2 linked regions of the Schizosaccharomyces pombe genome follow. Changing the gene in region 2 together with the main gene of any one other region gives a genetic interaction. Each region holds a gene or a part of one and is shown on either strand. Other genes may lie near its edges.

Region 1 (3,828 bases), 1.9 Mb from region 2:
TAGACATCGACAGGATCAGCGTTCGTCTTTTGCAAAACAGCTAGTGGTTTTTTCAACGATTCAACCACGCCCTCCATATACTGATTGCCAACAGTAAGTGTAGCTTTTTTCTTTTCGGAGTTTTTTTCCTAGATATTAGTTAGAAAAACAAAACTAGTTTAAAATTTCGATTCATACTTTAATGATTTTTAAATCTCCTATATGCAACGAATCTGCTTTTCTTTCCAATGTCGCTTGAACCTCAACGAGGTAAAGCTCATCATTAATTGCTCTTATAAGACGGATTTCTGACATCTATCTACCCTTTAGTATCCTAGAGAAATACTTTGGTTGATATCAATTTTTGAAATATTAGTTTGCGCTAAATAGCAGTGTCATCTAGGTATAGTGGAGATGAAAGAAAGAGTACATAAGAAAATGAGTTTGTATTAAATGCAATAAGCTTAGAAAACATCTAGTGTATAACCCTACTTTTTTATTATTTTACAAAATTAATAGATTTAAATTATTTGTCGTAAAACAAGTTTGGAACCGCCAGTATAAGAAAGTGTAAACTCGGTTGAAGGGGGATGTTGCTTTACGGTTTGCTTAATCCATTCTAACGCATGCTCAAGAACTACCAAGAGACGATTGGGAGTCCAATCATTTGGTTTGAAGTAAGGGCGCAACATTTTAGGTATTTGATGCGTAAAAAGTTCCTTCATTTCTATTAAGATGCCATTATCATCGCGAAATCCAATTATAATACGACCAATTCCTAATAAAAAACTTTGTGCCCAGTACTTTAATAGCTTTTTTCTCATTCCATAGTTCTCAAGGGGGTACTTTTTGGAGGTCTTGAGCTCAACGTAATGCAGGTTGGGATTTTCGGCATTGGATGCATCTTCTTCAATTGTTCCATCATCACTATGAACATCGCTTTCTTTAGCACTGCAGGGCTTTTTGTCCCAAATACAATCGACCTCGCCTGCGAGTATCAATTTTGACTTGCCGATATTGATCTTGACAATGGAGCAATACTGCTCGTCGGGCACAACATCTTGGTTGTCACGTTGCTCAATTTGGTCTCTCGAACAAGCATCCCATATTTCCGGAAGTGTGGAAATGGCTTCAAACTTATAACCCCAGTAACACATTCGGTCTTGGTTGGCATAACTAGTTTCCGATCGAGTTCGCTCTTCCATCATAATAATTCCACTGGTGGGATCCATAACCAGATAAGTTTCCCAATGGTTTCTGGGATCCAAAGGAGCGCACATAATTTTTGTAATTAAACCACGCCAAGTAAGAAAGCTGGAATTCATCTGAATGCCTTTAGTCATGAGCACGTCCTTTACAATAGAAATAGGATCAGGGTCGGATTTAGGAGGGTGAAACCTATTAGGAAATCCCGTGTTCAGATCGGAAAATAACGGTGGAGGATAATAATAACTTAACTTGCTATCATCAAGCAGCAGTTCGCGATCTCTCGATAAACTATAACAGGCAATTTCCAAAGGCTCCGAAACCGGTGGCACGTGAGCAGGAGGCACATCGTAAAACGAAAATTCACGAAGCATGAAGCACGACGAAATAAAACTGAATGAAGTTCAAAGATTTCAACAGCAATGTACGCATAGACTTGGAATATTATGGTAAAGAGTGCAAAGAGAAAAAGCAGATGTGGTTTACCCAATGTCAAACAAGGGAATAGTCAGAAATATTAGAAAAAGAGAGATGGAAAAAGAAAAGATATTGATACCATGAATTAAATGTCTCGACCAACTGGATTTTACACCAATTGTGCTGTCGTGCACGAAATTGGTGGTGGAGCTACCTAAGATTCTACCTTGTACCGAATAACACAATGCGATAGAATACAATACGGCAAGATGACTATTGAAAATGCTAATTACAATTTGGATAAAGAAAAGAGACGCTGACTAAAAATTAATGTAAAACGTTATCTACTAGTTTATGTGCTTTACCATTCTTATCTTTATTTTATATACCGTGTACATTTAGCTCTGCTATCATTATATAACAAATATCAATGACTGCACGTAAATATACATTAGGATTACAAGTTTTAATATGTTAAGTGGTGATTTGCAATCCCTTTGATCACGTTAACTTATTATTATGACGCGCAATTCATTCACGCTAACCTAAGATTATCAAAAAATTATCAGTCCAAAGATTGATCAAGCTTGGTCAAGCTAAATTATGGAGTGTTAGTGACTTGAAGCGATCGTCGAACCTTTCGTCAAATATCAAACGAGGAATGGTTGTAAACATTTTAGACAATAACTTATAAATTGCTATATAGCGTGTCATCAAACCCCCCTAGTGCGTTATTCTACAGGGAAGCAAAGGAAAGAGAAATACAAACGATTTGTTATTAGAAAAGTAATTTGGTAGAAGCTACAAATGTAGGGTAATTTTGAAAGAGAAAAGGAAATGTATTTCATGAAGGGGACGCATTAGAATTTACTATTTCCACCTCATATTCACTCTTAATATCCCAGATGTTTTTGTGACACTTTGAAAACAAGTACTTATTAATTGACTATGTGGTATAAACCCATGGATCAAAAACCATTAGTTAAACAATATTCTTAACGTTTTTGTATCGCAACGTTTTCGTATCGAAACGCTTTAGTATCGCTAATGTCAAAGATGAAAAAATCTAAATTATACGCATGCATATCTTGGCCACCTGTGCTAAAACCGCCTACCGTTTGTCCCAAACGTTTCAATCCCAACTGATAAAAAAAGTGATTTTCTCTTTAACTTAATAAAAATCTAAAGATTTATTTTCCACTCATCCTTTCAAAGGCAATCCGAGCGTTTTGCTATCTCCGTGAAATTTTTTCCTTTTGCCCATCGTGATTGATAATTTTTTGAACATATTCATCAGAATTGTCCATGCACATTCATTTACATCTACAATGATACCTCGATGTTCGTTTTTGCCAACCTTCTGAAGGATGCAAAGTCGCAGATGAAATCATGAGTTTCGTCTATTGTTTCTTTCGATCATCCGAATATCCCCATAGAAAATCGTTTGCCTTGCAAATTGGTATCGGTTGCCGATGGCCAAGTGTACCGACCACATTTTTTATCTATCACCGCTTAGCGAGCTGGATATGGGAAGTTTAGGAAATGTTGCCCGAGCATAGATTGTAATTGAGAAGGTTAAAATCCGCAATCAAAAGTTGGAAATTTGTCGTGCGAGACGAATTATAAAAGGAAAGCGATTTCCTACGAAAACAGCATCTTTTTTTAAAAAACAAAGTATTATCATTCACATTTTGAGGTTTTTGTTTTTTTGTTTCTTTTTTTTCCTGCTTTTGCATAGAACTTAGCAAAAGAGTTTCATTGTAAACATTTGTTTTTATTTTTTATTTTTATTTTTTTAATTTTACTTTCTACTGCCTTAAGTTAAGGTTCTCCTCCATTTAGACTATACTTTTCTATTCAACATGTCTTCTACTGCCACCGTTACTGAAAGCACTCATTTTTTTCCCAATGAGCCTCAAGGCCCTAGCATTAAGACCGAAACTATTCCCGGTCCCAAAGGTAAGGCCGCTGCTGAAGAAATGTCCAAATACCACGACATCAGCGCTGTCAAGTTTCCTGTAGACTATGAAAAGTCCATTGGTAACTATCTTGTCGACTTGGATGGTAACGTTCTCTTGGATGTTTACTCTCAAATCGCTACTATCCCCATTGGCTACAACAATCCTACTCTCCTCAAGGCTGCCAAGTCGGACGAAGTCGCTACCATTTTAATGAACCGTCCTGCTTTGGGAAATTACCCTCCTAAGGAATGGGCTCGTGTCGCTT
Region 2 (7,266 bases):
AGTGGAAGAGAATATCCAACTCAAAGATGGCTTACTAATTAACAGTAAAGACCAAATCTTATTACCTAATGATACTCAGCTGACTAGGACAATTATTAAAAAGTATCATGAAGAAGGTAAATTGATTCATCCAGGCATTGAACTTCTTACAAACATTATATTACGTAGATTTACGTGGAAAGGAATAAGAAAACAAATACAAGAATATGTACAGAACTGCCATACATGTCAAATAAACAAATCTAGGAATCATAAACCTTATGGACCTTTACAACCAATTCCCCCATCAGAAAGACCTTGGGAATCTTTATCAATGGATTTTATTACAGCTTTACCAGAATCATCTGGTTATAATGCACTTTTCGTGGTAGTTGACCGATTTTCAAAAATGGCAATCTTAGTACCTTGTACGAAATCCATTACAGCAGAGCAAACAGCTCGAATGTTTGATCAACGAGTTATTGCTTATTTCGGCAATCCAAAAGAAATCATTGCAGATAATGATCATATTTTTACTTCCCAAACGTGGAAAGATTTCGCACATAAATATAATTTCGTTATGAAATTTTCGTTACCATACAGACCACAAACTGATGGACAAACTGAGCGTACAAACCAAACTGTGGAGAAATTACTAAGATGTGTATGTAGCACACATCCAAATACATGGGTAGATCATATATCCCTAGTGCAACAATCTTACAACAATGCGATACATTCAGCAACTCAAATGACACCTTTTGAGATAGTACATCGCTATTCACCAGCTTTATCACCTTTAGAGTTACCTAGCTTTAGTGACAAAACTGACGAAAACTCTCAGGAAACGATCCAAGTATTTCAAACAGTTAAAGAACACTTGAATACAAACAACATAAAGATGAAAAAGTATTTCGATATGAAAATACAAGAAATTGAAGAATTTCAACCTGGAGACCTAGTTATGGTCAAAAGAACGAAAACAGGTTTTCTTCATAAATCCAATAAATTAGCACCTAGTTTTGCAGGACCGTTCTATGTGTTACAGAAGTCGGGTCCAAACAACTATGAATTGGATCTTCCAGATTCAATCAAGCACATGTTTTCATCTACTTTTCATGTTTCTCACCTAGAAAAGTATCGACATAATTCAGAACTCAATTACGCTACCATTGATGAGTCTGATATTGGAACAATTCTTCATATCCTAGAACATAAAAACAGAGAACAAGTACTCTACTTAAATGTCAAGTACATTTCGAATCTAAATCCGAGTACTATTATGTCAGGATGGACTACATTAGCTACAGCGCTACAAGCGGACAAAGCAATTGTCAATGATTATATTAAAAACAATAATCTAAATATCTGAGAACATATGACTTATCCTCAGATTTACATAGAAAATCTTGGGGAGGGCAATGTCAGCAATACTACACTACGCTATAATACACTACGTTGAGTATCACTATATGTCACATGTTCTAATTATATATCGTACCATGTATGATACGATATGGAGATTGATCTTAATGATAATCTATTAAGATCAATATTATCTGAATACTATAAATAGAGCTACTGCTGAACCTCGTTCCTCAGTTCAGTTATGAGCTATATTAGTGATAGGTAACATTATAACCCAGTTAATACAATACCTATACTCAGTTGCTACTTATACAACCTGTGTATTGTAATATAATAGATCACAAGGAAAACTCACCGCAGTTCTACGTATCCTTAAATCAGATACCAAACTGCGTAGCTTACACTTAAGAGACTAGATTTTAACTATTGTATAGCGAGTACGTTAGTAATTTCCAATTTACTCCAATGTGCGTTAAAAAATTTAGGTAGGACTGCGGAGACTACGCTAGATCTAGATTAAAATACCTAAATATTAAATCTTCAACTTATACTACACTCGTAGTCTTTAGTATCTAAAATTTACCAATTTGGGCTTTTTTGAAGCATTTGGTTTGGAGAAGATTTATTCGATTGAGTATTTTCTCCTTTACACCAAAAAATGGGTGTTCCAGCACTTTTCCGCCTTTTGTCGAGGAAATTCGCAAAGGTCATTACACCTGTTATTGAGGCTCCTACTGAAAAGCTTCCAGATGGTACTGAAATTGAACCAGATTTAAGTCTTCCCAATCCAAACGGAGTGGAATGCGACAACTTGTATTTGGATATGAATGGTATTGTTCATCCTTGTTCCCATCCTGAAGATCGCCCCGCTCCAGAGACTGAAGACGAGATGATGGTTGCTGTCTTTGAATACACGGATCGTATTCTTGCCATGGTTCGTCCTCGTCAGTTATTGTTCATTGCAATCGATGGCGTGGCTCCTAGAGCCAAAATGAATCAGCAGAGATCACGTCGTTTTCGTTCTTCTCGTGAAGCAGCTCTCAAAGAAGAAGAATTACAAGCCTTCATTGAGGAGGCAAAACAACAGGGAATTCCCATCGACGAAAACGCTACGAAGAAAAAATCTTGGGACAGTAATTGCATTACCCCCGGCACACCTTTCATGGACACTTTGGCCAAGTCTCTTCGTTACTACATAATAAATAAACTAAATAGTGATCCGTGCTGGAGAAATGTCAGATTTATACTTTCTGACGCCTCGGTTCCTGGTGAAGGTGAGCATAAGATCATGGAATTTATTCGATCTCAACGAGTGAAACCAGAGTATGATCCAAATACACACCACGTTGTTTACGGTTTAGATGCAGACCTAATTATGCTTGGTTTGGCTACTCATGAACCCCATTTTCGTGTATTGCGTGAAGATGTCTTCTTTCAACAAGGAAGTACTAAAAAGACAAAGGAAGAGCGTCTTGGCATCAAGAGACTTGATGATGTTTCTGAGACCAATAAGGTTCCTGTAAAAAAACCATTTATATGGCTCAACGTTAGCATTTTGAGGGAGTATCTAGAAGTGGAACTTTATGTCCCCAATTTACCTTTTCCATTTGACTTAGAACGTGCGATTGACGACTGGGTCTTCTTTATCTTTTTTGTGGGTAATGATTTTCTTCCTCATTTGCCTAGTTTAGATATTCGTGATGGTGCCGTAGAGCGGTTGACTGAAATATGGCGAGCTAGTCTTCCGCACATGGGTGGTTATCTTACTTTGGATGGTTCTGTTAATTTAGCTCGTGCTGAAGTCATTCTGAGTGCTGTAGGTAACCAGGAAGATGATATTTTTAAGCGTCTTAAACAGCAAGAAGATCGTCGTAACGAAAACTATAGACGCCGTCAACAACGCGAGTCAAATCAGGAATCAGAATCTTATGTTGACAACGTCGTAATTCAGCGTTCAGTTGAGACGCAATCGACAGAAGTTGTTACCTCTTCTAAATCAACTTCTGTTGATACTAAACCGCCAAAGAAAACTCAAAAAATTGACGCTCCGGCTCCAGTGGATTTGGTTAATTTGTCTGAAAAAACTTCAAATCGATCTCTAGGCGCTACTAATAGAGAATTAATTAATAATCGCGCTGCTAACCGTCTTGGACTTTCTAGGGAAGCAGCTGCTGTTTCTTCAGTTAACAAATTGGCGGCCTCTGCATTGAAAGCTCAGTTGGTTTCAAATGAGACACTACAAAATGTTCCTTTGGAAGACAGCATAGCTTCATCCAGTGCATATGAAGATACCGATAGTATTGAATCTAGTACCCCTGTTGTACATCCAATAGACACAAAAGTTTCAAATGTGGGTCAGAAGAGAAAGGCCCCAGATTCGACTGAAGAAAATGAAAATACTGATACAGTCCGCCTGTATGAGCCTGGATACCGCGAACGGTATTATGAACAAAAATTCCACATTTCACCCGATGAACCAGAAAAAATTCGTGAAGCTGTTAAACATTATGTTCATGGATTGTGCTGGGTTCTTTTGTATTATTATCAAGGCTGTCCATCTTGGACCTGGTATTATCCATATCATTATGCTCCTTTTGCCGCTGATTTCAAAGATTTGGCCTCCATAGATGTAAAATTTGAACTAAATCAACCCTTCAAGCCTTACGAACAATTACTAGGCGTTTTACCTGCTGCTAGTAAAAATAATTTACCTGAAAAATTGCAAACTCTTATGACTGATGAAAACTCTGAAATTATTGACTTTTACCCGGAAAATTTTACTATTGATTTAAACGGGAAAAAATTTGAATGGCAGGGAGTTGCTCTTTTACCATTTATAGATGAAAATCGGCTTTTGAATGCTGTATCAAAAATCTATCCTCAACTTACCGAGGAAGAGTCAAAAAGAAATGAGGATGGTTCTACTTTATTATTTATTTCTGAACATCATCCAATGTTTAGCGAACTTGTCAAACAACTTTACTCCAAGAAACGTCAAGGTAAACCACTTAAGTTATCCGGAAAGATGGCACATGGATTGTTTGGCAAAGTTAACACCAATGATTCCGTAATTCCCAATGTATCCGTTCAATGCCCAATTGATGTTACATCCGCTGACGCCCTTCAGAAGTATGGAAGCATAGATGATAATCAATCTATAAGTCTTGTGTTTGAAGTACCTAAATCGCATTTCGTACATAAATCCATGCTTTTAAGGGGAGTGAAAATGCCGAACAGGGTGTTAACCCCAGAAGATATCAACCAAGTACGTGCAGAGAGGAGCTTTTCTTCCCGCCGAAACAATGGTAATTCGTATCGTGGAGGACACCAAAGTTATGGTGTCCGACGCTCTTACCAATCGCAAAGTTACAGTAGTCGACAGAGCTACACTGGAGTTACTAATGGTTTTGCAAACGGTGGAGTTCAACCTCCTTGGTCTGGTAATGGCAATTTTCCTCGTTCTAATGCAAGCTATAACTCTCGCGGCGGCCACGAAGGATACGGCGGGCGCTCGAGAGGTGGTGGTTATTCGAATGGACCGCCAGCTGGTAACCACTATAGTAGTAATCGCGGAAAGGGTTACGGCTATCAGCGAGAATCCTATAACAATAATAACAGGAATGGCTACTATTAATACATTTAAGTTTTCTTAGTACAATTTTGAAAGCGGGTTTGGGATATTGGAGATAAATAATATATCTGATTATTTGAATTTCATTGGCACATTGCATAATTAGTTATGCAATTCAGTTACAAAATGCATGTTGATAACATAAAATTATACTCAACAACTATACCGATCTATTCCTCTTTCTTAAGAGCAGGTAATACTTCTGAATAAACATCAAAGCGGCGTTGAGTATAGATAGGAACGCTGTTTCGAGCGGTAGACATGACAGAGGGATCAATATCTGCGTAAACGATAGACGGTTTTTCATCAGTAGTAGCAATAACTTTTCCGAAAGGGTCTACAACAGTAGAATGTCCCCATGAATGATAGTCAGCGTTCATATCTCTAGCAGGGGCACAGCAAGCAACGAACATCTCATTATCAACTGCTCGGGCTCGTGCAAGTAGTTCCCAATGTAAAGGGCCTGTGGACAAATTAAATGCTCCAGGGTAAATCATCACACTACAGCCATTTCTAGCTGCTATCATAGCGAGTTCCGGAAATCGTATATCGTAACAAATACCCAAACCAAACTTCCCGTATTCAGTGTCAACCATAGTCATGGCGTCGCCAGGTGAAAGACTATCAGATTCGCGGAAGCTAACTCCACCAGGAATGTCAATATCGAATAAATGAATTTTCCGATGAACGGCTATCAATTTTCCAGAAGGATCAAACACCATTGCAGTGTTGTATAATTTGCCATCCTTGCGTTCAGGAATAGAACCGCCAAATAAGTAAGTCTTAGTATCCTACAGTACCGTTAGTCTCACATAATCAACGAAAATTAAATTAACAAACCTTTGCCATAGAGGATAAAGCTTGGTAAGAAGGAGATGATTCCTCTATAGGTTCAGCATACTGATTAAAGTAACCAGTACCATATGGTGAATTGAAAATTTCTGGTAATACAATGACATTAGAACCGTTTTTAGCGGCTTCCAATACTTTTAAACGAGCGAGTTGTAAATTTTCGCTCTTGTCTTTGGTATTGGCAAGCTGAACCAAGCCAATACGAAAAGCACGAAAATCTTTAGGAACCAGAGATGAAGCTGAGACAGACATGATGTTCCTTGTATAGCAAAAATTTAATGAAGGAAAAAAGGATCTTGTGCCTTTTTGAACGAGTCCAAAAAATTTACTGTTCATATAAACAATCACCGACTTGAAATTTTAGGTGAAGGAAGAGGAATGAGTAGAAAGCAAAGATACGAGGGAAGATGTCCTGATTTGTAGGCTAGTCTCAGAATATCTAGCTTGCGATAATTTTGAGCTCCAAAATATTATATTCCTGAAATCTCAATGTAACTTATTAAGCACGTGGCTAGCGAAATCCTCCAATCCAAATTACACCTTGTTATCAAAAAGAAATTTAGCAAGGTGATCAAACTTCCATGTCTTTGATAAGAAGAATGTCGACATCAAACTAGTTTTCAATCTATTGTAAATCTAAAGAAGAAAAAGGGATTTACATTCAAGCAGCAACTACACAAATAGAAATCGTTGTTTGAATGTTACGGAAGGCAAGACCAAAAAAATTGTTTTTGTTTATCTACAAGTTACAAAAGAATGATATTTATTACTGTGTCAACTAGTTTATAGGTAATGATAATATCGTCTGTCATTTTTAGAAAAAGGGGATTCAATTACTATAGATATTCAGTTGTTCCGAATGTGTTGAAAAATAAAATCTTAAGCGTCTTCGTTTCGCAAAAGAAGAAAATAAATGTTATAATAGCTCGAATGAACTGTTTGGCATACATGTTAATTTCACGTATATTGAATATTGATCTTGTTCAATAACAAATGAACTTATGGCATGCATAAGATCCATCAATCGAGAAGAGCCTAAAAATCGCATTTGAATGCGTATTTAAAGAAAGAATAGCTGTATCCTTAGTCAAAAAATTTTGTATTGAAAGAAAAAAGATTAAGAGTATAATGAAAATAAAGAGGAAAAGAAAGTTCGAAAACCAAAAGATGACCAAGAAAATAATGAGTAAATTACGTTGTTTAGCAAACAACCAAAATAAATTGCAATAATAAATTATAGAATTAACACATGATCCGAATAAGAGTAAAGCTGTGGAGATTAATAAGCTCTCCATTCAAATTCGTTGCGCTTCAAATCATGGAATTCACGGAAATCCGAAATGAAATGACACCTGAATAGATATTGAAATAGATGGTAAAAAGAAAGAATGAATTCGATTGGAAAAATGAACATAAAAGATGATTTGATGCAAAAA

The links. Genes that interact genetically often act in the same process or in processes that back each other up.
Region 1: of dhp1 (region 2) and din1, extra expression of one rescues a mutant of the other (dosage rescue), as found in Schizosaccharomyces pombe (one study listed by BioGRID).

Annotation. Positions count from the first base shown.
Region 1 is NC_003424.3:5,219,720-5,223,547, forward strand, and holds din1 (RNA NAD-cap (NAD-forming) hydrolase/RNA pyrophosphohydrolase Din1), read right to left. Parts: upstream 1,668-3,828; 5' UTR 1,560-1,667; coding exon 501-1,559; downstream 1-500. Other genes in the region: DNA replication factor C complex subunit Ctf8, read right to left, coding at 1-128, 178-294; SPOM_SPAC19D5.10C (uncharacterized protein), read right to left, coding at 1,668-1,922, 1,992-2,000; uga1 (4-aminobutyrate aminotransferase (GABA transaminase)), read left to right, coding at 3,465-3,828. UniProt on the Schizosaccharomyces pombe protein: Decapping enzyme for NAD-capped RNAs: specifically hydrolyzes the nicotinamide adenine dinucleotide (NAD) cap from a subset of RNAs by removing the entire NAD moiety from the 5'-end of an NAD-capped RNA.
Region 2 is NC_003424.3:3,355,632-3,362,897, reverse strand, and holds dhp1 (5'-3' exoribonuclease Dhp1), read left to right. Parts: upstream 1-1,894; 5' UTR 1,895-2,005; coding exon 2,006-4,981; 3' UTR 4,982-5,148; coding exon of another isoform or gene 5,149-5,769; 3' UTR 5,770-5,818; coding exon of another isoform or gene 5,819-6,166; 3' UTR 6,167-6,754; downstream 6,755-7,266. Other genes in the region: Tf2-4 (retrotransposable element/transposon Tf2-type), read left to right, coding at 1-1,351; SPOM_SPAC26A3.11 (mitochondrial omega-amidase), read right to left, coding at 5,149-5,769, 5,819-6,166. UniProt on the Schizosaccharomyces pombe protein: Possesses 5'->3' exoribonuclease activity. Required for the processing of nuclear mRNA and rRNA precursors. May promote the termination of transcription by RNA polymerase II. Essential for vegetative cell growth and chromosome segregation.